Linked DNA regions of Lytechinus pictus. The protein of the gene in region 1 purifies or fractionates together with the protein of each later gene. This does not show direct contact. Links are inferred from orthologs where the notes say so. Each region holds a gene or a part of one and is shown in the gene's direction. Other genes may lie near its edges.

What was found.
Region 2: the proteins of sequestosome-1-like (region 1) and histone deacetylase 6-like purify together in Homo sapiens (affinity purification with western blotting; 6 studies listed by BioGRID). This does not show direct contact. The link is inferred for Lytechinus pictus from reciprocal best matches to the Homo sapiens genes SQSTM1 and HDAC6.
Region 3: the proteins of sequestosome-1-like (region 1) and cyclin-F-like purify together in Homo sapiens (affinity purification with western blotting; 3 studies listed by BioGRID). This does not show direct contact. The link is inferred for Lytechinus pictus from reciprocal best matches to the Homo sapiens genes SQSTM1 and CCNF.
Region 4: the proteins of sequestosome-1-like (region 1) and DNA repair protein RAD51 homolog A purify together in Homo sapiens (affinity purification with western blotting; 3 studies listed by BioGRID). This does not show direct contact. The link is inferred for Lytechinus pictus from reciprocal best matches to the Homo sapiens genes SQSTM1 and RAD51.

What each region holds. Positions count from the first base shown.
Region 1 is NC_087249.1:39,147,007-39,154,477, reverse strand, and holds the start of sequestosome-1-like, read left to right. Parts: upstream 1-4,467; 5' UTR 4,468-4,822; intron 4,823-6,674; 5' UTR 6,675-6,686; coding exon 6,687-6,858; intron 6,859-7,223; coding exon 7,224-7,319; intron 7,320-7,471. UniProt on the Homo sapiens protein: Molecular adapter required for selective macroautophagy (aggrephagy) by acting as a bridge between polyubiquitinated proteins and autophagosomes.
Region 2 is NC_087247.1:75,156,882-75,164,657, reverse strand, and holds the start of histone deacetylase 6-like, read left to right. Parts: upstream 1-4,764; 5' UTR 4,765-7,776.
Region 3 is NC_087254.1:27,030,131-27,038,092, reverse strand, and holds the start of cyclin-F-like, read left to right. Parts: upstream 1-4,956; 5' UTR 4,957-5,030; coding exon of another isoform or gene 5,031-5,096; 5' UTR 5,097-5,536; coding exon 5,537-5,543; intron 5,544-7,083; coding exon 7,084-7,295; intron 7,296-7,785; coding exon 7,786-7,895; intron 7,896-7,962. Other genes in the region: protein HID1-like, read right to left, coding at 709-735, 1,590-1,751, 3,034-3,183, 5,031-5,096. UniProt on the Homo sapiens protein: Substrate recognition component of a SCF (SKP1-CUL1-F-box protein) E3 ubiquitin-protein ligase complex which mediates the ubiquitination and subsequent proteasomal degradation of target proteins.
Region 4 is NC_087251.1:40,097,208-40,104,559, forward strand, and holds the start of DNA repair protein RAD51 homolog A, read left to right. Parts: upstream 1-4,332; 5' UTR 4,333-4,338; coding exon 4,339-4,491; intron 4,492-7,352.

The sequences.
Region 1 (7,471 bases):
TCATGATTTTGCCCCCCCCCCCCAATCTGAAAAATTGACAGACGCCCCTGGCCCTGAGGGGAAAAGACTGAGGGATGGAGAAGAAAAAAGGTTGGAGCTAGCTCCATTATGGTTAAGATTAAAAAAAAAAAAACATGAAAGGAGCCCAAAATGAGACTTACAAATTAATCACTTATTTTCTCTTTTATTTCATTAAATGAAATATAATATTCTCCTCATTATGTGTTCAGAGTTTTATTTTTACCTGAACATGTGGAATTACCAATGTTTTTACACTTTATTCGGTCATCTTGGTTCTTGATGTCAAATATGTATGCAATATAATTCAAACAATTAAAAAACAAGAAATGTTGAATAAAAGGCCATGCACAATATTTTCTCATTTTACATCCGATTTGATGAATTTTTTTGCGTTATACTGGTTTAATATTTCTCTGATTCAATTTTTTTTCCACATGTGCTATCACATTTTTGGTTATCGCGTAGGGTCGGGCAATTGCGAAACCCGACCATTCGAAAAAAAAGAGCCCCCTAGATTTCCGAAACGTCAGGTCCAGTTTTACCCGATGTTTTGTGAAAATTATAGCAAAATTCTCCCAGTCAGCCCCCCCCCCCTAGAACCGCGCCTGCCTTTTCAGTTCTGAATATCAAAAACAAAAATTCCAGCTCGTGCTTCGCACTCGCAGTATTTGACTAGTGAGCCTAGCCTACTTCTTTTTATTATGATTAGCCTATACAATGTTTAAAATTTTCCTGTTTTGGTCTCAATCTGAAAATTTTCAGCTCTCGCTTCGCGCTCACATTATTGTTTTAGATATAGGCCTATATCTTCTTCACATTCCTACAGTGCGAACAGTGTTACTTTTCTGATCAATATTAAAGAAATCAACTCGCGCTTCGCACTCGATTATTTATTTAGTGAGATAAGTGACATGATTACAAAAGACCTACTCAGAATTTGTAGACCTACTATTTTTAGGTCTGAAAATTCAATAAAAATGTCAGTCCCACTGAACACATGTCCTTAATCAATGTTTCTTTCATGTTAGTGTCAATCAGCGCATGATGGCTATAGTGAGCGCGCTCGACTGAGCGACTCAAATGATTTTTTTTTCGTGCCCCCTCCCCTCCCCGCCAAAACAACAGAGGAATTGTTATTCCAATCAGTAACACAATGATCCGAAAATTTTGAGAGGGCAATCGATGCCGTATGAGACATTTTTCCTTTAAAAATATATGGAAATCTAACTTTGTGATAGATTTTATAACACAAAAGTCATGTTTCCCCCTCCTTACTTTTCCTTTGCTTTCTTTTTTCTCTCCCCCCCCCCATATTTGCTGTACGCCAGAGATTCCGAAGGTTCTTATAATGAAAAAAAATATAAGATATAAGATTCTTCCTATATTAGGCTTCGTTATACAGAAAATAAAAATCGGATTTGTTATTCCGAAGGTTAAGGCCAAGTCCACCCCAGAAAAATTTTGATTTGAATAAATAGAGAAAAATCAAAATAGTATTCACTGAAAATTTCATCAAAATCGGATGTAAAATAAGAAAGTTATGACATTTTAAAGTTTCGCTTATTTTTCAAAAAGTAGTTATATGTACAATTTAGTTACATGCAAAGGAGAGAATCGATGATGTCCCTCATTCACTATTTCTTTTGTTTTTTATTGTTTGAATAATACAATATTTCATTTTTTTTCAAATTTGACAAGAAGGACCAACTTGACTGAACCATAAAATGTGACAGGTATTGCGAGGCGGACATGTTTGTTATTATCGGGGTTATTATACGAATGTTCAATGATAACTTAAGGTTTGCTATATCGTTATGAATACTGTATTGACCAGTCAGACTGCATGTCCCAAGAAAGTGGCTTGTTTCATCCAAGTGATATTCATGACTTGAGATGTTTTGCATATTTAATGAGCTTGATGCGGACCAAAACACCTCTTTTCATTCGGTCATTGCTGCTCTAATTGTGCATCGAATTTCATGAATTTGGTACCATTGTAAAGAAAAAGAATCATTCTTTCAGGTCATGTGTTTGGATTTATTCAAAGATTTTGTAATATAGGTTAAAATTTTGATCTAAAATATGCTACAAAATAAATATTTTCACCTGACAAAAGCTGCTATTTTCACACTTTATTTTTGTTTGAGCCCAAATGATTTTTATATCATGATAAAGCTGAATATGTATGCTTTGAAATGATATAGGTTTCAAAATAAGAATTGGTTTAATCGGGTCAAGATCACACTTTTCATTTGCCAAGTACATAAAGCAGCTTGAAAACAAGAATACTGCACTCTGATTGGTCAAAAAGACCACACAATGGCAAATTCCAACGGTTCCAGTGCCTGGGTTCGTGGGAAGGTCACACTTCCCATGTGGTAATCTCCTCAAATACCCCGCGCCTGTTGTTCTGTGAACCTTATCCAGCCAATCAGAACTCTGGATTTCATGCAAGTACAAAATTTCAGAAATCTCGTCTTGTACCTTGGTGGGAAAAGTGTGATCTTGACCCGATTAAAAGGTGCCGCATATCAAGAGTGGCATTGTGAGAAAGTACAGAAGTTTAGCTTCATGGTGATATAGATATCATTGAGGCTCAAAATAAAAAGTTTTGCACAATTTGCAAAAGAAAACAGAGCAAGAAAATTCAGTTTTGAGGCACATTTTCAGGCCAGAAATTTACTTATTTAACAAAATATTGTATACAAAATAAATGACCAATATGAAGGAGTAACTTTTACTCTATCTGATGGTGCAATAATATTTCATTTAACTTGAGGTTAAAACAGGTATATTCTTAGAGAAATAAAATCTCACGAATCACGAGATTTTGCAAGGAGGAGGATTCAGCCACGAGATGATTTGGATGAATCTGGCCTTTTTGCTCATTAGCATATAGGGACCTGCGGTCTGACTGAAGATAAAGTTCGTTACTATTTTGAAAGAGCGATGTCACAAATGAAAAGGGGTTTGTTATTCCAAAGGTTCGATAGTACGAAAATAAAAATAGAATTATTGTTATCATTTTAAAACATGTTCTTGTATCGTTTTCGATAAAACAGAGTTCATGGTGCCACAATATTACGGGGCAGGGCGGGATATGTCCCGGTGAATAAACATTAGAAAAGAGAGGGGCGGGGAGAAAAAAAGGGAAAAGAGTATGGACTGAGAAGAAAAATAATAACAGGGCATGAGCCTACTGAAAATATACGTTATATAATTGTCGTGACTTCATTTTGTTGAAATTGAATTGAGGTACATTTTAAAGATTGAGGTTGCTTAAGAAGTTTTTTTAATTTATCTGTATCAATTATTGTTTAAGGGTGACGTCATAATATGTTATAACCCTTATGTCATCTTACCCGGCTATATCCCGGCCCCTATCAAATATGCTGGCAACGCCTACTTATTTTCCTTGAATTGTGTTGTCATAATCATCATCATGCATGTCATGTTATGTTTGTTTCTTGACTAATGCCCATTCTTTGTGGGGGTTTTACTTCTAAAAAGGACGAAATATATGTCAAGTCATGATTAAAATTACTATAAATACTTTTAAGAGGATAATTATATTCAATTTCTGTACATCGATTGCGTTCAAATTCCAACAGTTTTTTTTACCTATTCATTAAAAAAAAATATCTTGCTTTACTTTGTTTTGAAAATCTGGTTTGAGTGAGAAAAGGTAATTAAGAAACAGAAAATGTTGTCATTATTGCGCCTTTCCCGCGACCATGAAAAGTATAGGCCTAATGAACAAGCACGACAATCATCTCCTTTTTGATAGGCCTATAATTTATCACAAAAAATAATATATATTTACCGCAAAGATAAAGTTCAGTTATTTTCATGAAACCTGTATTCATCCCATAAAACGATTCTACCTATCGATATAAGAGAGTCAAGTGAAATATGAGTTATATTTTTTAATCAAATTAGCCTGTAGTTTCGATCATCAGTAAGCTTAGGAGTTAGGTTGTCTGTTTCATTAATTTTAATGTTTTAGGCAATGAAACTTATTTCTTTGCAATATTCTCTTAATAGTCTTGCTTAGTCTTGGCCTCTGTTGCATAAATCTGGAGGAATAATATGTGAGTCAGCGATATTGAAAGCAGATTATGAAACGTTCCAGAACGGAATCTTTGGGGTCGTGTGAAAAAGGGAATAACAGAAAACACTGCACATAGTCTGCAAGTACAGACATCTCCTTTTAGACTTTTCGCACACTGCCCAGTAGTGCACATTGTAGGGTCTGAAATAGTGGGTCTAGATTGACTCAAATATTGTGGCGGATTTTAAAACTTTATTTTAATTGATACAGACAGAGAGTGTTTATTCTAGTAGTCTTGACCTGGTTTAATTTGTTTAAGTGTCAAAGTATAGTCTGTGTTTGCAGACTAAGCAACGTTCGACGAGACAAGTATCGATGACGTTATGTTCTATTTTAAGAAACGATGTAAACAAACATTGAGCTGTCTTTCGCTCGCTCGGACGAACAAATCGATCGTTCCGTTTTGGAAACGTAATGTCTACGTTCAATTTCGCTGAGTAAGTCCGGATTCGAGTGTTCCAGAAACGTCTTGCATTCGGGTATATAAAGGCAGCCACTCCCAGTCGACATCCATACTGCGATTCGGTAGAATCTCCGCAAGAGGCAACTGAGTGTCAACGTCTGCGTCCGACGTCAAAACCATCGATAGTTAATCAGAAACTACTAAGAGTAAGAATTCTACGCCGGCCCGGTAGATAGAGATATTAGACCACTTGTTAATTTCACTTTTGATCAGCCATATACAAAAGGGTAAATTGTTATTCTCTTTCTAATTCTACTTTTATTTAGGATCTATTTCATTAGACTCGATCGGGACAGTCTCTCTGTAGTGTAGGGTCCATGTTATACATAGACATGAGCCGAGATCGAAATTATACCCCAGTTAATATACCCCCGATGAGGCATGAATGTAGTATTTACTATTGCCCTGCTCATGAAATAATTAGTAGATATTCACTGCTCTTTAAGGACGTTCCACAGTTATGTTTGTGCGCATTATGATTTGCGCATAGTTTACACTCTGCGCGCTGACGTCACAATGGATGAACAGGTGATTAATTAGCTGCGGGTATGTGCTGATTTTTCTCATCTTCTGCACTTTAACTGCAGATCCGATGCGTTATTTCATGAAGCTAAAAAATGGAATTATTCCATGGACCATTCAAAAAAAGATTCTCTACAATTTCAAAATACTTTACTCTGCAATGCTGCCAAGAATCACAAATATTACCCCGAGTTTGAATAAATGGTAGAGTGGTTTTGATTTTTTCTTCACATAGATACAAAGCATTCGGCGCATTTTTGGTGTTTTACAAAGCACATTTGCTCTAATAAAAATACTGATAGTTTAAAAACAAGCACATGACCCCTATTTTTGAATGTTTGTTCCTCTTAGGTATACCTTCCTCTACAACTCTACAAATTTTGGTGAAAATGACATGGATTTTGAATAAAGTGCAGCATTTATTGTACTTTTGTAGTTTGTTACTGAAATTTCACATTTTTTAGATTGGGATTTTGTTGTCTTTTACGCCATTTTTAAGAACTGACAGTGCTGTTAAACATAAAATTGCAAACAAATAGCACTATAAATATATTCTCCATTATCTAACGATACAATTATTAACTCTCTTGCGAAATTTGATGACTTTTTCATGTATTTTGACTGAGTATACAGGTTTAAACTCATTGTAGTAATCTTGGGCGGTCTAAAAATGCCAAATTCTTTTGAATGCGCAATTCTTAAGAACATCAATTTGGGTGAACTTTGAAGTTCTATAGCAAAAAATCAAGCACATGGACCTATGTTAATTTTTGCATATTTCGAATATTAAGGTTCTAAAGTATCTATGTGCAAAGTTTGGTGAAAATGACATGGATTTCACTTTAACTGTGGAACGTCCTTAATTGCCTTTCTCTCGTTTTTAATTGTTATAACATTGCCTGGAAGAACAATCTTTGTTTGTTGAAATATATGGAGATACAGGTGTGAGAGCTCAACAGTGGCATAGGAATTAAAAATGGCAAGCAGAAAAGGTTGAAAAGAAACTGGATATATATATTGTACAATAAACAGAGTTTCTGTTTATGGTAACTCCCGCAGGAACTCGGCAGGACAGCGTTTTGCTGGTAAACGCCAAGCTGGTATATAACCAATTATCTAGGAAACATTTTACGTCTAGGTTAATCAGTCATAGTGGCTAGGACTTTATATAGACGTCAGATATTAATCTCGGGCCTTATTTCAAAGGGGAGACAATGGCAGCTAGAGTATAGGGATTCGAACTCACAACCTTGCGATTATGAGTCCAATGCTCTAACCACTGGACCACACGACCCGTTAACAGAGGGGTATAGGTAAAATGTGAAATATAGTAAGCCACCAAAGCCATGTCCTGGGATTCCTTATTGATTGCATGGCCTCAATTACCCTACCCCCCCCCAGCATTGGATTAAGATATTTTTTGTGACTTAAAAAAATCCATTTGTGATTAATATGGTATTAATATATGCCATGTAGATCGAAGTATAGTGGCCTTGCCTTAATTTTGAGTCCTGAAACAGATGATAATTATTATACAATAACCGTTCTCATTTTCAGATTCAACGCAACATGTCTATGACAGTGAAAGCATACCTGAAGCGGGGAGAGAACGCAAATGCAGAGATCCGTCGCTTTGTGATTGACGTTGCTGTGAGTTCAAACTATGAATACCTTTCCAAGAAGGTAGCTCAAGTATTTCCGTCTCTGGGTGAACCCGACAATTTCACTCTCTCCTGGAAAGGTAATTTTTTTTTCTTTTATTCATAAACATTATGAAGTTATAAATCAATTCCACTGGTCCATTCATTTTTCCAATTCACTGAAAGAAATAATACAGAAAATAAAGAAGTTAAATATAAATGATAATAAAGTTCTATTAAATAAATATTTTTATAATACACTATATGATCAGACAAATGGGTGGTCATGGTCCCCCATCTATTTTTTTTTCTTGCTTTTTAACTTTACTTAAATTTGTTATAATGTGATAGTTTGACATTACAAACACTATAAATGTATATGTGTTGGGGACTACATCAGTGATTCCCATTCTCTTATTTTGACAAAAATTGTTTGATTATGTTTTTTTTTTCTCCATAATTATAGATTCTGAAGGAGACAACATCACTTTCTCCAGCGATGATGAGTTGGTAGAAGCCTTGGGTCAGATAAATGATGACATCTTCCGGATCTATGTCAAAGGTCAGTTTGTCCTTGTTATCAACAGTAGACTGTTATCATGAGTATTTTCAGTAATGACATGATTAATATTATCATCATCGTTCTTCGTATCATAAATATTAATATAATTTCTGTTAGAAAAATGAAAATAATTTGATAATATGAAAATGATT
Region 2 (7,776 bases), on another chromosome or scaffold:
TGGGACTGACCCACCAGTTGGTTACTCCGCGCGAGACCATGGCTGACGTCATCACTCAATAAAATAAACAAGTACAAAAGAAGAATCAGCGTCAGTGCAGTTGACAAAATGGAAAATTTGAGGTAGTTTCATAGTAAAATACGAGTACGAAGGAGATTTTGCGTCCCAGAGATATTTACACATGTTCATCACTGAAATACATTCTACAACATCGGAGGCTTCACGAAAGCCAAAAATTCTGAGGAGGGTCAGGACGTAAAAAACAACATTCTAATGAAAAATTCGATCTCCGATCCGGCTAAAATATTGCCTAGATCTAAAGCATTATTTCAGGTTCAATTTTTTTCGGATTACCACATATTTCATATCAAAATAAAGCTAAAGATTTCAAGATTTACTTACGGTTGCATTCTTCCATCTTGGCTTTTCCAGTGAAGAGTATGACGTCATTAGAACGAGACCTGCATGACTCTCGTGATATCTCGCGATCTACGAGAGTCCCGCTAGATGATTTTCGGGCGGATGGGATTCTGAATAAATTTCAGCGATCGTGCTCATTAGCATACGCGTGGCGCTCTGACTGTTTGCACACATACCAAATACGTCACAATCTGATTTGACTCAACAAAATTACAAACGGAGGAAGTTGCAGATTGGTCATTTTAGGTATGTCTGTCTTTCTTACGTAGTTAAATCTTTCCCTTCCCGTACATGTTTTAGAAATTATAATAAGGTGAAAAAGCATACTTTGAGCTTTATTTTTATGCAAAAATCATTTGCGTGTTTACAATGGTCTTGATAATATAACGACGAGTCTGCGGGGCATTTCTCTGGCGATTGTCGCATCGTGGAGTACCCTCTGGTGCCCCACGTACCGTACTCCTATTTGTGTAAGTTGAAAGTGAGTGTAATGAATGACGGGAGCTCTGTGCTCGCTCAGCTCTTGTCTCTGGATCGTTTTTGGAAAATAGCAGGGGCCGCGGAGCGAATTAATTTAATTTACAAACCAGTAAAAAGGAGAATAAAGTACAAAAAATTGTTATTCTACATAATAAAGAACTTAAAAATAACATGTTTGGGACCACAAAGAAGTATACCCAGTTCTATGTCAGGATGATTCATTTTAAGTTACAAAGTCATTTGGAAAAATTTACAAGCGAAATTTTACAATTTTTAGTACAAAAAATAATTATGATTTAAAAAATATTATAGAGAACAAAATAAAAGATGATTACCGGTACAACTATTGAATTAATATTTTTAGTTTAATCTAAAGAAAAAAAAGAAGGCTTCCAAAATATAAAGTGTCCGGATACCCAACCCCCCCTCATTTCTAAAACATTCTATTTATATTCTAAATATATTTAGAAACACGAAATATCATGATTTTTGTTAGATTATGGGATTTTTTGTTTGTTTTAAGATTGAACTTTTTTCTTTCTTTCTTTCATATCCTTTTTTCTTCATCATTCTATCCTTCCTCTTTGCCCTTTTTTTATTCCATCTATCTTTATTCCCTATCTTTCTTTCCTGATCTTCTCTCTGTTCATTTTTCTTTCTTTCCTTCTTTCTCCTTCCTTTTTTAAATTTCCTTTTTTCCCTTCATTTTTTCTTTCCTTAAACTTTTCTTTGCTTCCTTCTCCCTTTTCTATTGGTTCTTTCTCTCCTTCCATTATTTTATCTATATTTATTCTCTCCTCCCTTTATTTTTTCCTCCCTCTCTTTCATCCTTTCTTTTATTCTTTATTTTATTTTTTCCTTCTACTTTGTGTCCTTTTTTCTTTCTTTCCCTCCCTCCCTTCCTTTCTGTTTTTCTTCTTTATTTCTTTCTTTCAAAGAATGAAGGAAACATTTTTCTTTTATTCGTTCTTTCTTTCCTCCTCCTTTTTTCTTGCTTCTTTTTTTCTTTTCTCTCCCTTATGTTTTCTTTCATACATCTTCCCTTCCTTCTTTTCTTTTTCTTTCCTTCTTAATTCATTTCAAAGAATGACGGAAACGTTTTTTTCTTTTATTCTATCTTTCATCATTTTATTCTAAAATTCCTTTTTTAAAATATATTTTCCTTCATTTTCCCCTTCATTTTTTATTTCTTTCCGTTCTCAATTCAACTCTTTTCTTTCGCCTTTTCATTCCATCCTTCATTCTTTTGTTCACCCCATTCTTTTTGTTCGAACACCGTGTAGCCTCCTTTGTTGATCTTTATTTTTAAAGACCTGGCTCGGTCGATCCGCTCATGCAGCGTACTTTGTCGATTGTCCCGTATTTCTTTTTGTGAAATCTGGTCACCCTGCATTCAGCTGGTTCCAAAACCAGATTTTCGTCTTCGAAATCGTGAGCCGCCATGTTTGCATAAAATTCGTGAAACCGATGTGAAATGCATTATGGGTGAAAACGCTACTGCGCAAGCGCAAACCCGAGCTGTCGACCGCGTCGATCAACTTTCCTTATCTGAGTTACGAGCGGCCTGTGTATAATGCGCCGTGAGGGACCCTGCTGAGAGGGGATTAGCGGTGCCGCGCATGGGGCAAAGCGTTTGAGAGAGTCAGATCTCCTTCTGTTAATAGCTCTATGGTTAGAGTAACGTACGATATATTTCCATCCTCAAATTTTGAAAATTTCTGGATTTTCAAAAGCCTTTGGGGAAGAAAAAAAATATTTGGGGATTAAACAAATTTTAGGGATATTTTGTCTATTTAAGGGGACTTTTGAAGGTTATAGTGAAAAACAATAAAATTTGCAATTTTCTGTCAAATAACGCTGATAAACGATCATAGAGGTGAAAAAGTAAGATTTTTAAATATACATCCACATCTATGTAGGCCTATACAATCTACTGTAGATAGTTAATGGCTTGCTTAACCAAGGAGGTTTCAAATGAGGTGGAGTAACAGCAAATAAAATCTCTTTGAACAAGGAAAAGAACCGCCAGCAGAAAGTATGTCAGGCATGCACTTTGCTCAACATCTCTTGCAATTGTGTAGACAAATGATTCCCGCATGCCTCCGCAGCTATAGGTCATACATAAAGGGCAATATGCTTTTGTGATGATAATTACTTTTCGCCGCATCTTGGTCTGGTTATATGTGTAGTACATAATTCGGAGGCATGCGAAAATAAACTATGCAATATGTCCTGAAATATGACTCAAATTTGCTCGACTGGGCATGTGCGGGCACTCATCTGGCATATACAGTAATGAATAACAATATTCCACTGACCACATTTGAAATTTCCATTCGCCGCAAACGATTGGAAAAGTGTTAAAATCTGGTTTCAGTAAAGGTCAAATTGTTTCTTTTTTCACTAATTAAAGGTTAATTGATATAATATGGGCAAATATCTCGTCGTAATAGTGCTTGGTTATTGATGTTTTGTCATGCATTCAAACTTCAGTTTGTTTATTAATATGAAACATGAAAAGTTGATACAAATGAATATTCGTAAAATTTCACCCCTCGGATTTCTTCATTGAAACTGGCGGCTTCGAAGGCGGACATCAAAAAGGTCCTTATTGCCGTTCTTTCTTTTGTGCTTCTTTAGAAATGAACAGCTGCTTGAATAAATTTGTTGCCTGTTGGAACTCTAGTCATAGAATCTTCTTGGCTTAACCCAATCAGGGTTCCCAATTTTTCAAAACAAAAATCCCTGATTTTTCTATGATGAAGTTTAAAAATTCCCTGATTATTATTTAAACCTATTCCCAGTTTCTCATGTTTTTTAAGTTGTTGCAGTGGATTACTTGTATTATTATTTTTTTATATACATGTAGGCCTACTTTTATGTTTAATTATGTACCATGAGGCCTACTTGTACTGTAGTAAAAGAGGCTACACTAAAAAAAAAAACACCATAAAATGTCATTCAATGAATGTTGTTTTAATATACAACAAAATATAACAGTGTCTGACTGGCTATCGTGCTTTCGACTTTTGGGCCGATCAAGATCCCCTGATTTTGCCCTCATTTAAGGCATTTTCCCCTGATTTGAGGTAATTCCCTGATTTTTCCCTGACTGGAATAATAAAAAAGAAATCCCTTATTTCCTTGATATCCCTGATGGGCTGGGAACCCTGCCAATCCATTTTAAGGAGGAGGCGAAGAAGTAGTTAAAAAAACAGAATTAGAAGATTATATAAGATTAATGACTACTGTGGTGATAACTGATAAAGATCGGCAAGCGTAGGCTATACTATGTTATTACACGTCAGAATGAGTCATGGCTGCCACCAAGATGGTCGATGTGATGTTGTCGCAGCTAACCCAATAAACCTGTATAGTGTTATCAAACTGGTCTGTTATATGCCTCCAAACTCACTATTGAAATAACTAAACAAAATATTCATAACAATACATGATCTAATGGCTTTGTAACTTTTGGAATACCCAAGCTGGATAACTATTGCTTATTTTACATCAACTTCAAGTATTGTCCATAACATATGGTGCATACTTGTAACAATGATTTAAAAGAGGCATAAACATGTTTACCAGATACGTATCCACACAATTATAGTAATTCGTTCCTTTCTTCATAATGTTATTCTGATAAAACCCTGCCATTCGATCATTATAAGCTACAAGGTCCCCAACTTATTGTTCTTTAAATGTGCATGCAATGATGTAATGATGTGCATGCAATGATGTAATGATGAGTATGATATAGTTTTCATCATCATCTATATTATCGATATATACCGGTAGGCCTAATTATAAGAATTATATTTGATTAGAATAATTCATTTGATGAGCAACTATCTCGTCATCGATAGACTTTCACGTCGAGGTTTTGCGCCCAGCAGCCCTACCCCAGCTCTACCCCTCCGGCCCGTCCTCCGGATCCTGGCGTCATGTATTAACTGATCCATGATATGTATCCATTACTTACAATATTTGTTAATTCTAAAATCAAATAAATGATAATGAATTATTTGATTTGATTTGATTTGATTTGATTTGATTTTATTCACCAACGATAACAACATATTTACAGATGTTTACATATTACATTATTATGTCATGCATATAAATATTACAGAAATGAAACATACATGTATATGTTAAGAGCTGATAAAAGGGACCAGAAAATAGCACAAGTGCTAATCGAGCCTGGCCCCTATACATATTAGTAATATAGGCGAATATTGAACTTTAAAGTATGTTTTTTTTAAAAAAAACAACAAAAACAACAACTACAAAAAAAAAAAAAATAATAAAATTATGAGTGTAACATTTATGTTATATACAGAGCAATATGATAAGTTATTGATTTAATAAATGATTTTGTAATGAATTCCTGAAATCGTTTCTGGATACTTTTAGTTTGATGGCTAATGGTACATTATTCCAGTAATCACTTCCTAAGAAAGATAGAGAGAATTGTCCTTGAGTAGTCCGTAATTTTGGTAAATGTACTTGTCGACCTTCTTTTTGTCTTGTTGGGTATCTATGCTCTATTACATCGCAATAATCTACTAAAGAGTGAGGTAAGTTATTATTACCCAGGTCATACATGAAGGTACATATAGATAAATTGTGCATTTCAAATACATTTAGGATCTTTAAATTCTGAAATAATACACGTGTATGAGCTCGCCACTCACTGAATGTGATGGCACGTACTGCCATTTTTTGGGTGTAAAATATACAATTTAAGCTACTCTTGTAAGTACTCCCCCACACCTCGATTCCATAAGTTATGTGTGGCTCTATGAATGCCTTGTATAATAAATGGACATTAGACCAAGTGTGAATTAGACCAAGTGCCGATAAGCCCAACTGGGCATTAGACCAATTGGTGATTAGACCAAGTGGTCATTAGACCAAATGGATTAGACCATTTGGCTATTAGACCAAGTGGTCATCAGACGAATTGTATATTTGACCAAATGAGAATTAGCCCAACTGGTTATTAGCCAAAATGGAAATTAGACGAATTGGATATTAGACCAAGTGGGAATTAGACAAATTGGATATTAGCCGAACTGGTTGCAGACGAAATGAGTTTAGACGGTGTAATGTTAGAGGCGCACGGCCACTTTATAGTCTAAAGTATTGGGAGACTCTCTCCCATATTGGAGACTTGGGACAACGTGAGACAGGTTACTGATATATCGCTAAGTGGCAAAAACATGCGCTTATCGACAGGACTAGATCTAGGTTATCGATAACAGCACTAATTTGTTGTCACTTTAAATGATTTCCAAAAAGTGTTAGCAATAATAATCTAAAAGTATGTTTTTGAAGGTATTACATTTATTGGTGTCCATATTTTATCAAACAATTAGCCTGTAGCCTTGCGCATGCAATGAATTTAGACACAGTTATAAAACGAGCTGAATTAAGGTTGTGAATATCATTAGCACCACCATCGAGCTTCCTTTTATTCTGTGAAAGAGGATGTACATTAGAATGCAAAGCCACTTTCCAGGCCGAGGTAAGCGATTTTGCTCTTTTTTTTGTATTGGTTTTAACGTGCATAGGTTGTGACTCTCCTATACACGGGACCAACATTTGCGTCCTTTCCGATGGACGGAGTGTTTTCCAACTGCATTCACACCCTCACTGAACACAGCGGTGAGGCACGCTAACATACAATGCTAGCATAAGATTTTTTTTGTTAAACGTCTTCCGGCATGCTGCGGGACTCGAACCCACGCACGTTGAGATCTACGATCTTATCCGGAACAGGCGCTCTAACCGACTGAGCTACCCTGCCTCCTGAAGAGTTCCGGTGAGTAGTAAAAAGGTGTTTCGGCAAATTTTATTTCTGTAGTGTAATGAAGCGATGTTTGTCGACTTCTTCAAAATCCAGACCCAAACACGGTTCGGTGTGCGAGGTTAGTATAGCATACTAACCTCGCAATCGTATGAGTGGTCTAAAGTGTTACGCGAAGTCAGTGAAGTGTTCTGTCTTCCCGTTCTAGAGTCTTTCATTCACTCAGAGGTTGAAAAGTTCAAAGCATGTAGATTTTTTTTTAATTGTTTTTTACTTGTTGCTGCTTAGAAGTAAAATATTGATTTCAAAAGTGCCAATATTAATTGGTGCCCACATTTCAGTTGCACATATGCTGGATTTGGACAGTTATAAAACTACCATGGGGCTGAATTAAGGTTATGAACTTAATTAATGCCACCATTAGAAACCCTAGCTGTCCGAAGAAACAACAAATGGTACACCAGGTTGTATTATAACTTTGTCTTCCCAATAAATAGCTAAAATCAATGGGTTCTGACAGTTTTTGTCTAGATCTGCTCTGATCTAATGGTTGATTGATAAATACTAAATTTAGGAACCCAGTCATTTGACTCGGTTCCTAGTTACATTTATTTATCATGTGCCAAGTCCTATGCACAAGGCTGATTGGTTTTCCTTATTTATATTTGTAGAAAGAAAAAATTTGTGCAATCGATTTCTGTATTTTTCTCCAATAGATGGCCTCACAAAAAATGCTTATTATACCAGATATTGTGCCCCAAATCTAACATTTATCCACTAGAGGAAACAGGAAAAAAATATAGAAATCTGTTTCTTCATGTGTTTATGGACATTGAAATGACTGGCTTTAGGTAGACTTCAAGGTCTACTAATTTGTTGTATGTCTGAACATGATGTAAATCTCAACAAGAGCAGAATCTTCTGAGCTTGCAACTGCAAGCCATATATTTTTGTAAAATGTACATATTGAATGCTCTTACTGTACTACATGTAACATTATTTCTGAATGACAGAATTTGAGATACTGAACTTATACTGAAATTATATTGTGTAAATACAAG
Region 3 (7,962 bases), on another chromosome or scaffold:
TTTTTTTTTTCTCTCATCCACTATGGTGGGTAATGAATTATCCCTTTGAAATAAACAATACAAAACGAATTCCTAAAAGCAAAGAAAGGAAAAGAAGGGGGAGAAATCCAATCTGACTTTCAATGTAAGACACTAAGTAAAGCATGTGAACAGTATATTGTGAGCAAAATTTAAGCACTTGGGATAGATCATGAGGGAAAAACAGGCCCTGTGCAGACTATTAGGCCCAAATTCACAAAGGTGATTTTTAAAACCATCGGTTGAACCTGTGGTTTATGCAGATTTCCTGTATAAATTATGCTTTATATTTACTACGTATATTAAAAAATGTCCAATGCTGATGCACGCTTTTGTCACAGTGCGCCAAATTGATGCATGTTGCCATGGTTTAGCATACTATTTCATTCAGAAGTCCACTGTTTTGAATCAATAAGTCCACTCTTCAAACAGTGGACTCATGAATAAAATAGCGTAATTAATCATGAGAACAGGCGGCGTTTTGGTGCACTGTGACAAAAGCATGCATCAGCAAAGGACAAATTTTAACATACGCGGTAAATAATTGTAATTCATACAGAAAATCTGCATAAGTCATGGGTTCAACAGATGGTTTCAAAAACCACCTTTGTGAATTTGGGCCTACATGAAATTGTCTGAAGCAAACCTACAAGTTAGTAGAGGAAGGGAAAGAGCACACAGCAAACTTACAAAGTCATCCACCCCATCCATGTTTGCCTAATCACCAGAAAGAAAAAAAAGTACCATGAAGAAAACAAAAGAAGATAGTATTAAGATTAAAGTCAATGAAACCATTCTTAGCATATTGAAAAAATGCCATGCTTACATACCAGAGTGGAGTCAAATTTAATAAGATACATGTATGTAAGATGAAGCAAAGTATACTTTCACATTTTGAAGGAAGAAGATGGGATAATATTTACATTTCAATATTAGGAAGTCCATCCAAAATGAAACCAATATAGTCACACAAAAGAAAAGATATAGAATATCAAAATGAAATAAGATGTACACTGTACATTTCTGACTTAAGCATGATTGTCATTAGAATACTAAAGGTTGCCGTTTTACAAAAAGGAAAGCAAAACATTCATGTTTTCTTCATATGAAATTAAAAAATGTATCAATTGGCATGCTTGGAAGTTGCAGTTTCAAGCGATTTAATCTGAATTGTCACTGATTTCATATTTTCTTATAATTGGATTTCGTTTTTTTTTGCAATAGTACATGCAGCATGTTTTTTATAGTACCATGCCATTGCTTCATGAGATTTGCAAGGAGACAGAATTTTCATTTGACATCATTGACATGTAATAAAGAAAGCAGTTTTTTTTCCTTTAGAGGGAAGAATAATAAAGGAAACATGCCATGCACCTCTTTAGTTGACATATTTTTTTTACAAAGGCCTTCTAGAAATCCCACAGCATTCGTTTCTTAGCAATACATCTGACACTCTGTAAATTGCCCATTTGGAATAATAAGAATCAATCAAATATCTTGAACCTAATTGCTGGTCAGCTTCCTGTACCAGAAAGTTGATTAGGCACAGCTCGATATGAAAAAAAACTCACTGATTGGCCAGGCAAGGTAGACCAGAAGAATCCCCTCCAATCAGGATCCTCAAAGATATACGGCAGGATGCGGGTGAGGAGGCGGGCTGCATTGAGTACCACCTGCTGGTCTCTAGGGGCGGAGCATCCAGACTCTGCAGCTGATACTAGCTTCTCGACAGCCTACAATAGAAATGGAAAATCAATGAAAAATGATTCAGTGCTTCCAAACCAACTTGATCAGTCCTGTATTTATGCACTTTTATACAGGCCTAAGAATACCTAATAAACTTGTTCACACCCAACTGAACTTTCAGATAATGTTCCAATTCGTTATGAGCAAGCAAGTCTATTGCATTCCTATACAAAGTACATATAACTAAGCCTGTAGGCCTATCTTGTCTCACATTTGAAGAACTTATCATTTGCTTTTACACTGCAAAAGAACTCTACACCTTGGAGAATTCCTAAGAAAGGTCTTGTAATTTTAACAAGTTCCTCCAAAGATATTTTCTTTCAGAGATATTACAAGTAATTTGCTTCACATTGGCAAAATAACTGGTATTATCTGATGGGTAGCATTACAAATGAACTGGTGAGTAGAGAACCTCATATTAATTTCCATTTTACCCAGACATACATGTAGTTACTAACAATATAATCACTAATTCAGTGTTGTTCTTCAGGGTATTTTATACAGGAACCTCTGGTCATCTCATCGCTTGTCTAGAACTTGATACATTTATTGTTCTTTGTTTTGTGTCGCTATATTCAAAGTGAAAATAGTTCCGTTGGTTTAATACAATCACAAGGCCCCTATTTAGAATTTCTTTATTAATCTTATCCAATATTATCAATCAAATGATTGTCGGATTGTGTTTTCAACTGTCAAAGTTATATGTTTCGACATTCTATTGAAAATGAAAACTTTTGGTGTACATATTAAAGCAAGTGTGGAAATGTCTACACTGCGGTTTACTGTTTTATCAGATGTAACCATACAGTGTTAATTATGGTTTAATCCGGGGGCCTCATTTGCCCCATTGGGTATGTTAAGTTCATAGGCTTCCAGTAAAAAAAAAAGAGGGAAAGCGGTAAATATTAAAACAGTACTCATTTGCACAATAATTCCTTACAAAAGTAAACTAATATAGAGATTAATCACACTACTCGGTGGATACAGTACTCGCCTATATAAAGTCATGATGCTACTTTCTAAATGCTGATTTTTGACTTTCTGATAGGTTTGTACTCCTCCTGGCCATGTGCATTGGGCCATGATATATTGTTTATGCTTGTGATATGTGCTATTAAAGGAACTGTCTCAAATACCACACAAACACCGATCCCTTCGACACTGGTAAATTTAAGCAGTGAGCTAAAAACTAAGTGGGGGCCTTATTTACCCCGAGGCCTTAATCAACACTCTCCCCTATTTGTTCAGAGACTAAGCTCAGAGATATACCTTGTAGCAGAGAGTGGCCAGATTAGATGGTGATTCCTCTCTGAGTGCTCTTATCTCAGCAGCTGGGATGAGTGCAAAGACATCGGTCACGCTGGTAACGCTGTCGGCCCAAAACTGGTCCCAGAAGGCATCATCTCCTGCCTCGACAGGCTGTCATATAATAGGAACAAAGCAAACATGGAGGACTAGAGAAAAATTCATAATCATGATTTAATTTTTTTTACAAAAAAATTGTAATTTACATTATTAATAAGCATGCTACGATTTTCACATTAAAAAAAATGAGAATGGATTCTTTGAAGGGCTGCACGATCATGATATTCCATATAAGCCTCAGACAACACATTTCCTTTATTAGGGTACATGATGTCAGAGCTAGTATAATGATGCATAAAACTAAGAACGGCGCATATATATCTCTGTGCACAAGATAAGATATCGAGATAAAAGGTATTCTGAAAATTCTTTTATCTTTGCTTTCTGTTAACTTCCTTGGAAAATACAATAAAATTTCGAGAGGTAGCCTGGGGCTTTTGTAACTCAATGCTGCATGCCATATTTCTCAGTCAACAATTTTTTTTTTGCTGCATCACACAAGAACATCTTGTTTTCCAAAATGAAACATTCTGAAGATATTACAGAGACCGATTGGCAGACTTTGCAGCAATTTAAAGATCTCATTCGAGATGATGAATCTTTTCAAAGTAAATATGCCTGGGAGAACAACCACATGTAACCAGACTATCTAAAGTGACGAGGGGCAAATAAGCTACAAGTTTACGTCTCTACATCCAACTTCCAAGTAAATCCAAATAAGTAAGTAAATGTATCTTAGCACAGTAGCGCACAAGCACAAGCGTCAGAGGCATAAGGGAAATTACGCCTCAGCCCTCATCATGTCAATAATGGGCTAGCCTAAACTTAAGAGTTTTTACAGAAGAGACGCTTCTATTGGTTGAACCCAAGCATAAAACAACATGATTTATTGGTTGACTTGATGATGAGATATTGCGCGTGTCGGAGATGAAATAGGGGACACGTCCTTAAAGAGATGAGTTTTTAAGATAATTTTCAGAATACAGATTAAAGATAATTTTTGCGAACTGTTAATGTGCTGAGTTACATTACAAGAAAATTTACATGAATACCACCCCATTACAAGAAAAGTTACATAAATACCACCCCAGGATTACAATTTTTGGCAGTCAACGTGATCTAGTAAATTAACTTAACCTTGCTTAAGGCCAAGGAACATTTAATGACATGCAACGTTAACTTAGATCTAACATTAGATCTAACCTTAGGCCTAACTAAGTCATTAATCAACCACATTTTGAATTAAATTCTGGAATGAAAAGAAATTCATGTTTAAAATTACATTTATTTAAAAAAAGTTAAATGTTATTTAGTGCACAGTGACACTCACAGACATCCCCCTCCCCCTTCATTCTGAGCTGAGTTTCGCTTCATAATGTTTTAATGAATGACATCCAACCTTAAATATCTTTAACAATTTAATTCTAAGTTACTAAGTTAGACCTCCGTCAGATGTGCAATATTTAATACGCTTCGACGTGGCGCGGCGTAGCACTTTTTTCATAGTACAAGTAGGATGGGGGGTCGGGTGTCCGGACACTTTATTATATTTTTGAAGCCTTCTTTTTTTGTCTTTGGATTACACTAAAAATATGAATTCAATAGTTAAAAATAAGTTATATTATTATTAATTATTATAATCATCTTCGATTTTGTTCTCTCTAATATTTCCTAACATTTTCTACTAAAAATTGATGAAACTTCGCTTGTAAATTTTTCCAAAAGACTTTCTAAAATTGATCGTCCGGACACACAACAACTGGGTATTATTACTAGTACTAGTAGTAGCTCTCTACCAGCTGTGAGCTCGTGAGTTGTCCATGATTAACATGTGCAGTGAAGTGCATGCATGTCGAGCTCGAGTGTTGTTGTAATTTTTGTATTGGCCGATTCTCGTTTACCTGTGTTTTTGTTGTCAACTGTACGACTGCTTTCCTAAAATTCAGCTTGGAGTCTGTCCCTCCCATCTCGATTGTCACAAATCTTGCTTCTCACGATTGCATCAATTAATGGAATAACATTTACTTGTACAAGTATTATTTCGATTCTTTCTCGATTTCGACGTAGCAGAAATCAACGTAGCTAGCTAGCTTAGCACGAAAACATATACGATGACGTCACGTAGTCGTAAATGTGAAAGGTCATTCGTTTCCGTTGACCTCATTAGTGGGCGGATACTTCTAACCGAGCGCAAAATCTTTCAGCCAATCATGAGCTACGACGCTCATAACGGACGTAAACACAAACGGCTGGCATGTGTATTTTCAATGCAAGCCAACGCGCTAAACTTGAATGAATGAATGATGCATCCGCTCAACTGTGCCTGATGCGATATGTGTAAATATTCGTACAAATTATACTTATAGTCCTTTTCTTTTCCTGAGTGCAGTACTTTGTCTTCTAAAAGATGAGGGGTAAGATAAACACACATTCTTTTTTTATATATGATTTGAAGTTGAATGTTTTATTTCAAGATTTGTTGAAATATTCTAACTTTTATAGTCAAAACTCTTATTTTAAATTGAAAGCCTCTTGATGCAGTCGTTGGTGGGAGGGCACGCCGAAGCTTCTGGCTGAGCGTTGAGCCGTTGACCGTTAATTCGTAGGCTAGTGTTGCGGTCGTCCATCCATATCCGCTGACAGCCGTCCAGGCTCATTTTTTTTTTGGTTTCGTTGTTTGTGTTGCCTGACGTGGCAACATGCACACCCCTCCCTACTAAGTAAAGAAACGATTTATGATGGGGGACCCAAAGCTAGCCAAGCCCAAGGGCAAAGCAAAGGCGATTTATCTTATTCTTAAGACAAGATCTGACTTAATGACAAAGACAAATTTGAATTCAGAATCTGATGGTGTTGATCTCAGAATCTCAGAAAGGGGTAATCCAGACATCGCTTCATTAGCAATAGCAGGTATCATCTAGTAGTATTGTCTAGGTGTGATGTCGCTTCAGTGCATGTGCAATTTACTCTGGTGAATGTCACTGAATGACACCTTTCGACTCGTTTCGAGGTATTTATTTGAAGGACTGTAGCTGTGTGAAGTGAAGTTGAGGTTTTTTATCCCCAGGACCAGGTAGCCAGGAGGCTCCTAGTCTAGAGAGTAAAAATCATTTACTAACGTACATGTTTACTCTACACAGAGCCAGGGATTTGATTGCATTCATCTGCACGTACCGCCAAAAAACCTCAAACTTTCGCCCCCGAGATTTCTACTTTTAAAAGATCTAGCCCTAATTAAATCATGTATATGGGATTCAATTTCATTTCCAATATTTCTACGATATTGATTTCATTTTTAAACAAGAATTCATTCTAAAAACGAGAAAAATGTTATGAAAAGACGGGGAAAAGTTGCCACCGTGTTTACGTCGCCATCTTGATTTCATTGTCTTTCGCTTGGCGACAGCAGGCAAACCGCGCATTAGCGTGCTGTCGCCAAGCGATGGGTCATGTTTATGGAGTAGAAGATAAGTCAAGTACCGGTAATCTTTTTTTTAATTTCAAATTATTCTAGTGAAATATATTAGGGGCGATTACATGTACCTCCATGAGTCTTCACATTTTCCAATGAATCAGTGACCAACATTCCATGTCAAATTCTTGAAATTACTGTCTTGTCACTGACATTGTCAGGATTTTCACCCGCCTGGACATAACAACTGCTTTGGTCAGCAGGCAGGACTAGGTCTGGGACTTGGATGTACTGTAGGTAGTGGATATTCAGTGAGAGCTTGAGTTGAATAAAGAACTTATTTCTTGGGCAAAGATTTCCTTGTTGAGAGACCCCTTTTCCATACAACGGCATTACTCTTTATAAGTACATGTATAATGATGTATTGACTTATCGTGATGAGTAATCTGTACTAGAATTTATTGATTTCATAATCAAATCCATGCATTGTAGCTGTTTTATAGCACATGAATAATCTTCTTCTTTTTTAATGTAATTTGTAGATACTTGTAGCCGTACATGTACCTTGCCTGCAAGGTCATCATCTGAAATGGCAAAACAGTCACCATCATCATCAAGGTCAACCAGTCTCCATGTACGGGTTCTCAGGAGCAACAGTAAGCTGCCAAAAACCATGCTCATCGATCTCCCAGATGAACTCCTCATTTATCTACTGAAATTCTTACCAATGTGTGATCTCCAGAATATGTATAGAGTAAGTATCGATTAGGATTATCTGATTTTCAGATTGTTTATTTTCCAATCTCTTTGAAAGAAAACTGCCTTCTTTTCTCTTCTGTTTTCTTGTCATGTACTTGGGACATGGGAGAGGGTGAAAAATACTGGTACCTTTTTTTAAATACAAATACAAATGTATTTCTATGTGATCAGGTTCGAGTGTCATAAAAATACTGGAAAAGTTACTTGTGACTTTTGGCTTGAGCAGGCAATCCAAATACGCTATTTAAACATTATGATTTTGTATAATTTAATACTTATGATCTGTTGGACCCATTATTAATTAGAATAATGCAGTCTCACCAATCAGACCACAGATTCTTAACAGTGAATCATTTTAGTGTTTTAAAGTATTTTGTATGATAATCTGCCAATCAGTTTTTTTTTTCATTCTTGCTCTAAAAATAAGTGCAAAATATGGTAACTGACACAATTAATTTTAAAACGTTTATTGTTGACAATTACAGATAAACAAACAATTCAAATGGCTGCTAGACTCTACCCCAAGGATATGGGCCAATGCAAGTGTAGTCGGAAGGTGGCCAACCAACTCAACTGAAATGGAATGCTTCAACAGGTAGGAATTTTGACTTACAGTCAGGCCTGTGTACAGTGTATCACAGTATACTGATCTCACAATGTTA
Region 4 (7,352 bases), on another chromosome or scaffold:
TATACATATCTCACCATAGTCATCTAATGCGAGTGCTAAGCGCTTGCTGACTTTGTTTGAATAATATACATCTAAACACATGAAGCACTTTTTGTAGTCATTATAATCATGATCATCATATGCATCTCGATCACTAGTCAAATATTAAGAGCGCGAAGCGCGAGCTGAAAATTTAGGAAATTTAGACCTGAAGAGGGGCATTCTAAGGCCTGCTTGTAGGAATTCACGAAAACCATGCTTATTTTACTAACCAAATGATGCGAGCGCGAAGCGCAAGATGAAATTTTTTAATATTCAGATCAGAAAAAGGGACATTTTAAGGTCTGATTTTAGGAATTCATGAAGAACATACATATCTCACCAATCCACGAATGCAAACGTAAGCACGGACAGGAAATGGTTTATATTAAGACCTTAAAATGGGGCAATCACTTTAATTAAAGGTCAAGTCCACCCCAGAAAATTGTTGATTTGAATCGATAGAGAAAAATCAAACAAACATAACGCTGAAAATTTCATCGAAATCAGATGTAAAACAAGAAAGTTATGACATTTTTAAGTTTCGCTTATTTTTCACAAAACAGTTAAATGCACAACTCAGCGATATGCAAATGAGAGAGTCGATGATGTCCATCACTCACTATTTCTTTTGTTTTTTATTGTTTGAATAATACAATATTTCAATATTTACAAATTTGACAAAAAGGACCAACTTAACTTAACCATAAACTGTTAAAATAATGACAATTCTACATGTTCAGGGAGAAATAAAACTTTGTTTCACTTGAAAAGGAGGAGAAATTTAGAATATTTCATATTCAATATAATAAAATACAAAAGAAATAGTGAGTGGGTGACGTCATCAGTCTGCCAATTTGCATACCGACCAGGATGTGCATATAACTGTTTTGTGAAATTAAGCGAAACTTTAAAATGCCATAACTTTCTTATTTTGCATCCGATTTTGATGAAATTTTCAGTGTTTTGCTTGTTGGATTTTTCTCCTTTTTTTCAAATCTACTTTTTGTTGGGGTGGACTTGTCCTTTAAGTAGTCATGAAAAAGAAGCATATGTCAATACATAAAACAATAATAATTTGAAGTGCGAGGAAATATATTTTGTGTATATTGACTTGAAAACGGGAGGTTTTAGTACAACAGGATTATATATCTTGTTAAACAGACAATGCGAGGACCAGGAACAATGAAGACATAGCCTAGGCCCTGCGCAAATTAGGCCTATGTTTCATAAATTTATGATTTTTTAATGTAATATAACATAACATAATTATAATATGATATAACATTATAATTAGCAATAATTTATTCTTTCCCCAGTATGTTTCTCTCCCTTTCTCCCTCTTTTTCTCTTTTCCCCCGTTTTTTTTTTGGCCAGCCGATTGGGGGGGGGGGGCACGTGCCCCCCATGCCCCCCCCCGTAGTTACGCCACTGCTCCTCGATACACAAATAAATACAATAGCATGATTAGCAAGACGGAAATAAATTAAAGATGACAAAAAGGCAAACAACAGCTGAAAATGAAGGTAGAATGGAATGAGTCAAAATATAAATTGGAAAATAAAGAAAAGGAACAAGACATTAACACTGCCGGGCTGCCGAGGATTGAAGATAACGAGCGGGAAGAAAGATGGATAATGTCGTATGAAAGTCTGTTATTACTTGCTAGATCTCCAAAGCTACCGGGGGCTCTATCCAAGAGCCCATGTAAAAATCAAATTTTGTGATAGATTTTGACATAATGTTAAAAAGATAATATCATATTCACCCTCCTCTCTTTCCTTTTTTCTCTCTTTTTTTGTACGCCACGGTGAACAGGATTTTTGTTATGATTGTGAGCATCAGGGCGAAGCTCTATATGCTCGAGTATGGCGCGCTTCTGGCAAGAAGTAGCTTAATATAGGTCCCGAGCGAGCGAAGCGAGCGAGATAAAAAAAATCACCTTTTCATGAGAATCTAACATAAAGATAGATTTTAACGTGATATTCAGAAAAATATAATACACTTTCCTTTCTTTCCTTATTTTTTGTTTGGTTGTAGAACTTTTGGGGGCCTTGGTCCAAACTCATCCATATAACAGTGCTTTATGGGTGGGGTCCAGGGCAGAGCCCCGGAACCTCTTGATATCAAATCCATTTTAAACCCGTTACAGATGGCCACTTATTTTAATCAAATTGCGTGTATATTTATATAGCTGTAACACAACACATAAATTCAATGCAGTTGTGTATCGTAATCATCCAAATATTGTGAAGGGCACACCAAAGCAAATGTGGGAAAATTTGTAAAAAGTCGCCAGCGAGCGAAGCGAGCCAGAAAAAAAAATGGCCTGTTAAAATGAAATTCTAATTATGTGATAGATTTTTACATCATTATAGCAAATATCATGTCATATATTTTTTTTTTCATTCATCTCATTTCGCTGCCTCCTTTATTTTCTTTTATTTCCCCTTGGCTGAGGAACCACCCCCGGTACGCCAGTCATTCAATGTAAAGCTTAATGCAGGAAGGGTCCATATAGGGGCCCGTTATAGAACCCATTAAAGGTTACAGATGAAGAGCCCCCACTGCACGGGAGATTGGAGATTTAGCAAGTTTATGATAGACTTTCATACGACATTATGCTATATACCATCCATTTTTCTTCCCGCTCGTTATCTCAATCCTCGGCAGCCCGGTAGTGTACGTTATCTTGTCCCTATTCTTTATTTTCCAATTTAGATTTTGGCTAATTCCATTCTGCCTTTATTTCCCGCTTTTGTTTGCCTTTTTGTCATCTTCAATTTATTTCCCTGTCTTACTAATCATGCTAATGTATTTGTATATCGGGGCGAATTTTTCTTTCTCACTTGTTCTTTTTTCCTTCCTTTTCCCGTTATCTTTCCGTTTTCCCTTTTTTTATGTATTTTCTTAGTTTTCTTTTCCCCTTCCCCTTTCCCCTTTTTTCTTTCCTTTCCCTTTCCCTTTCTTCCCCCCCCCTTTTTTTTCTTTTTCCCTTTTTTTTTAATTTTCCCGGTGAGCTCCGCCAGGGGGGGCAGCTTGCCCCCCCTGCCCCCCCGCCTGTTACGCCACTGCCTTTAAAGGGCTCTATAACGGGCCCCTATATGGACCCTTCCTGCATTAAGCTTTATGTTGAAGCACTGGCGTACCCGGGGGGGGGGGGGTACCACAGCCAAGGGAATATAAAAGAAAATAAAGGAGGCAGCGAAATGAGATGAATGAAAAAAAATATGTATATGACATGATATTTGTTATGATGTAAAAATCTATCACAATTACAATTTCATTTCAAAAGGCCATTTGCTATGTGTGCCCCCTCAAAATATTTGGATTATTACGGTACATAACCGCACTGGATTTATGTGTTGTGTGCCCTTGTGTGAAAGCTATATGAATATAAACGCAATTTGATTAAAATTAGTGGCCATCTGTAAGGTTTAAAATGGCTTTTATATCAAGAGGTTCTGGGGCGCACTGTTTTATGGATAAATTGGACCATGGCCCCCAAAGTTCTACAACTAACCACCCCCCCAAAAAAAAAAGAGGAAAGAAAGAAAAGCATGCAAGCCAAAGGAAAACTGTATTATATACTTTTTTTAATATATCACGTCCAAATCTTTCATGTTAGATTCTCATATGAAAAGGTTTTTTTTTTTTATCTCGCTCGCTTCGCTCTCTCGGGACTTAAAAGGAAAGAGAGAAGGATGAAATATGATATTATGTCAAAATCTATCACAAAATTTGATTTTTGCAATAAAATTATCAAAATTTTTGCTCGCTCGCATTTATATTTCTTTGTACGATACACCATACCACCCCCTCAAAATTTTTGCCTCATGACGCCATTGCCTGTTCCATGATATGACCGGGAAATTTTTGGCTCTTGCCCCCCCCCCCCCCCCCCCTCCCCGGCCACCAACCCCTGTTACGCCCCTGTAAAACAGGACTTGTCGGATACAAGTCCTTCATGAAACTCCCTTGCTTTGTTGTAGTTCCAATTTAGGGCCTAAGTTTTCATTTCAGATGGTAACCTTACAAGATACCATATTATATAAATACGGATGACTAATCGCCACTCCCAACATAACAACAAGAAGAGAAGTTATTTCATTTAGACGATTCCATTTTAATTATAGGGGTTATCTTGTAGATGATGATTATTATTATTATTTTTAACTTGGTTTAGCCATATCCATGAAAGTAATTTTTGAAAAAAATAATGAATATTTTTCACAGTTTTATTTCAGATAGTATTATTTCTATTTTTTTTTTTCTTAGAAAGACTTATAAAAATCTGATAGACCCTATGGGCAGGCGCCTATGCCCCGAAAATATTTGCAAGCTCCAGCTAGCTCCAGATATGCAGATCCAGCCAGCGCGCGTTCTACAAATTTTGGTAACTGCCCTGTAATTCACGGCATAATTAACCTCGCAAGACCGACGTATTTTCACACTTTCAAAGAGAAATCAGAGGTGATATTTAATGATTTATTAAACCTTGTTATTGTTTTCATTTGTGTTATGATCTTTCATTACTCTCAGCTTTCTTCACTTCTTCATTACTTTTAATCTTATTCACTTCTTGTGTCTGTCTGACGTGTTCACCAACCATTTTCTTGCCATCGGCATCGCACTGACTGGCCGCACAAGGGACAAGCAGCCTACGGTATATCGGTAGGGTGTCTGAAGCCACACTGAAAAGTGTCAGCATAAAACAGGCTGATTTAGGGGAAAATATGGCACATTTTTTCGGGGAAGTTCAGGCTACTAGAAAAATGTGATCTGAATTGATTATTAACTTGTGTTTGGCATGTATGGAAAGAGAAAATTCAGGGGCTTCTTTTGACAGTAAGGACAAGTTTATATATATGATCATTTTAAATAAGGAATAAAGGATCATTTACCGTAAGGGTACTAGTATTCAACCCGTTTGGAGAGTTTCCTCAAATATATAGAAATATAGAATTTACCTGAATTTCAGACCCGTCTTATTTCCAAGAGCAAATGCTGGTTATTCTTTTTCCGTTATTTTTTTCTTCAACCAGTTGACTGTGTGCGCGGGCGATCGAATTATACGGCGACGGATTTTAGTACTAGTATTCAACCCGTCGGCACTAGTATTCAACCTAGCGATGAAAGATGGCCCTGTCTCTCAATCTGCCCTTGTCCCATCCGACTATGGACTAGACCATTTGAGATGAGACCAAACAGGGAATTAATCAAAGCCAGAGACTTACATAGATCTAGATCTAATTTAGCAATCTAAACCCTTTTGAGATTTGCTATCAATCCTCACTAGGTTGAATACTAGTACCATTCAGTGCAAAAGGCCATCGCCGCATAATTCGATCCTCCGCGCATACAGTCGACAGATTGATAAAGAAAATACCGACAACAGATTACCCTGGACATAACAAAGGTATGAAATTAAGATAAATTCCCTATTTCTAAATATTTTGGGGAATATGTCAAAATCTTTGAATTATGCCGGGTTGAATACTAGTACCCATACGGTACTAGACTTAGACTTAGAGGTAAATTGCAACCCCTTATTTTTGTGTGTGTTGAGATTGCCATTTCTCCATGCGTTTTCTATGGGAAAATGAAATTTCTGTTTTGCACAATTTTTTTCACTTTGTCGCAATTTTTCATTGTGATCTGGTTTCCAAATCTTTATAAAAATCATACCATCAGATAGAGCATAAAAAATCCTATTCATTTATTGGACTCTAATTATGGACAGGTTTTTGGCATTAATAATAAATTTATAATTAACAGCTCTCGGAAGCTAAAAATTTGGATTTGTGTGTGTCCATTTCTTAACTACACAGTCTATGGCAGAGAAATGCTGAAAATTTACCTAATTTCATTCTTCTTTTTTGCAGCCAATAATTGGATTTTTTTCAAAAATGTTACATTTCTGTCAGTCTGAAGGTCATTTCTCTTCAAATTCACAAAGAAAATGTGATATTTTCTTGAAATAAGAAAAATAATTTTTTTCTCCAGACACCCTAAATTTTCTAATAGCGGTACCCCTCGGCTCTCCACGAAAAACAATTATTTTCGTGCGCGACAAATTATGATTCCAGACGCGCGTCGGACGGGTGAAGATATTAAACAAATACCGGTATATCAGGCTTTGAGAAAGTATAGTGGAATTATTTATCCGAGGTTGGTCTGACAACTACTAAATACTATTTTTCCCGAGGGGCGAAGCCCCGAAGGAAATAGTAATTAGTATGGCAGTGTATCCTATTACCGGACACCTTTATTTCAGTGCTTTAAAAATGAAAAACTAGAGGAAATACAATCAAGAAATATTTGCACTTGCTATTCCAAATATTATGAAAATTATGAATATGATAAAATTATTTCATATTTACCAACCGTTTTCTTTGCATCGCAATTGTCGCATACCCCTCCACGAAAAAGTTATTTTCGCGCGTGACAAATTACATCATGATTCCGGACGCGCGCCGGACGGGTAAAGATATTCTTCATTATAATGATGTAAGAAAGAATTTGTGTGAATTTTTCTTCATATATCATATCATGCATAAATTCTAAGCTTATGTTTTGTTTTTTTTCACATCAAATCTGAGCAGATGTTGGTAATAAATTTGTGTTTGATAAATTTTATTTTGACTTCTCAGCTGCATGTTCCATGCCCATGGCACTTTCCAATACTATGCTCGTTCGTATCGTAACGCTCATCAGGTTTGATGCGCTGTCGATCGATGGTCGACGGCTATAGTCACGGTAAACCTCGGGCACGGTATACCTCGAGTCTAGCCGTCGGCGATTAACCACAATACACCACACTTCATCATTCGATCGAAGGAGAGGACGGGACTGAAATTCGGCAAAATCAGGCCCATTTTTCCATCAGAAAATATATCAATTGTTAATGCAAAACTACGTTATATGATATTTAAATCATTTTCTGTCATTTTAGAGATAAATAAGGTAAAAATTGGATTTTTTCGCCTTGTTTTAGCAATCTTGTTCTATGAATTGCTCTGTGAAATTGAATTGCGGAAGTCTTACGGTACAAAATTGTTTTCGTACGCAGTACTATGCGCGTCCGGAATCATAATAGTGTCCGGTAATACAATACGTAACTGTACTATAGTTTTGCCAGCGCGCGCCAGTCCAACCGAGTATTAATAATTCCCACTACTCACTAGGCCTATATATTTCTATGCTTTCGAATGAAACGCCTGATATATTTGTTTTATATCCTACTTTTGATAATTTATAACCAAAATCTATGCGCTGAGCTTGCAAAGTCCGGTTACTTGCGTCAAATTACCTACTTTTCTCCGAGCCACCGC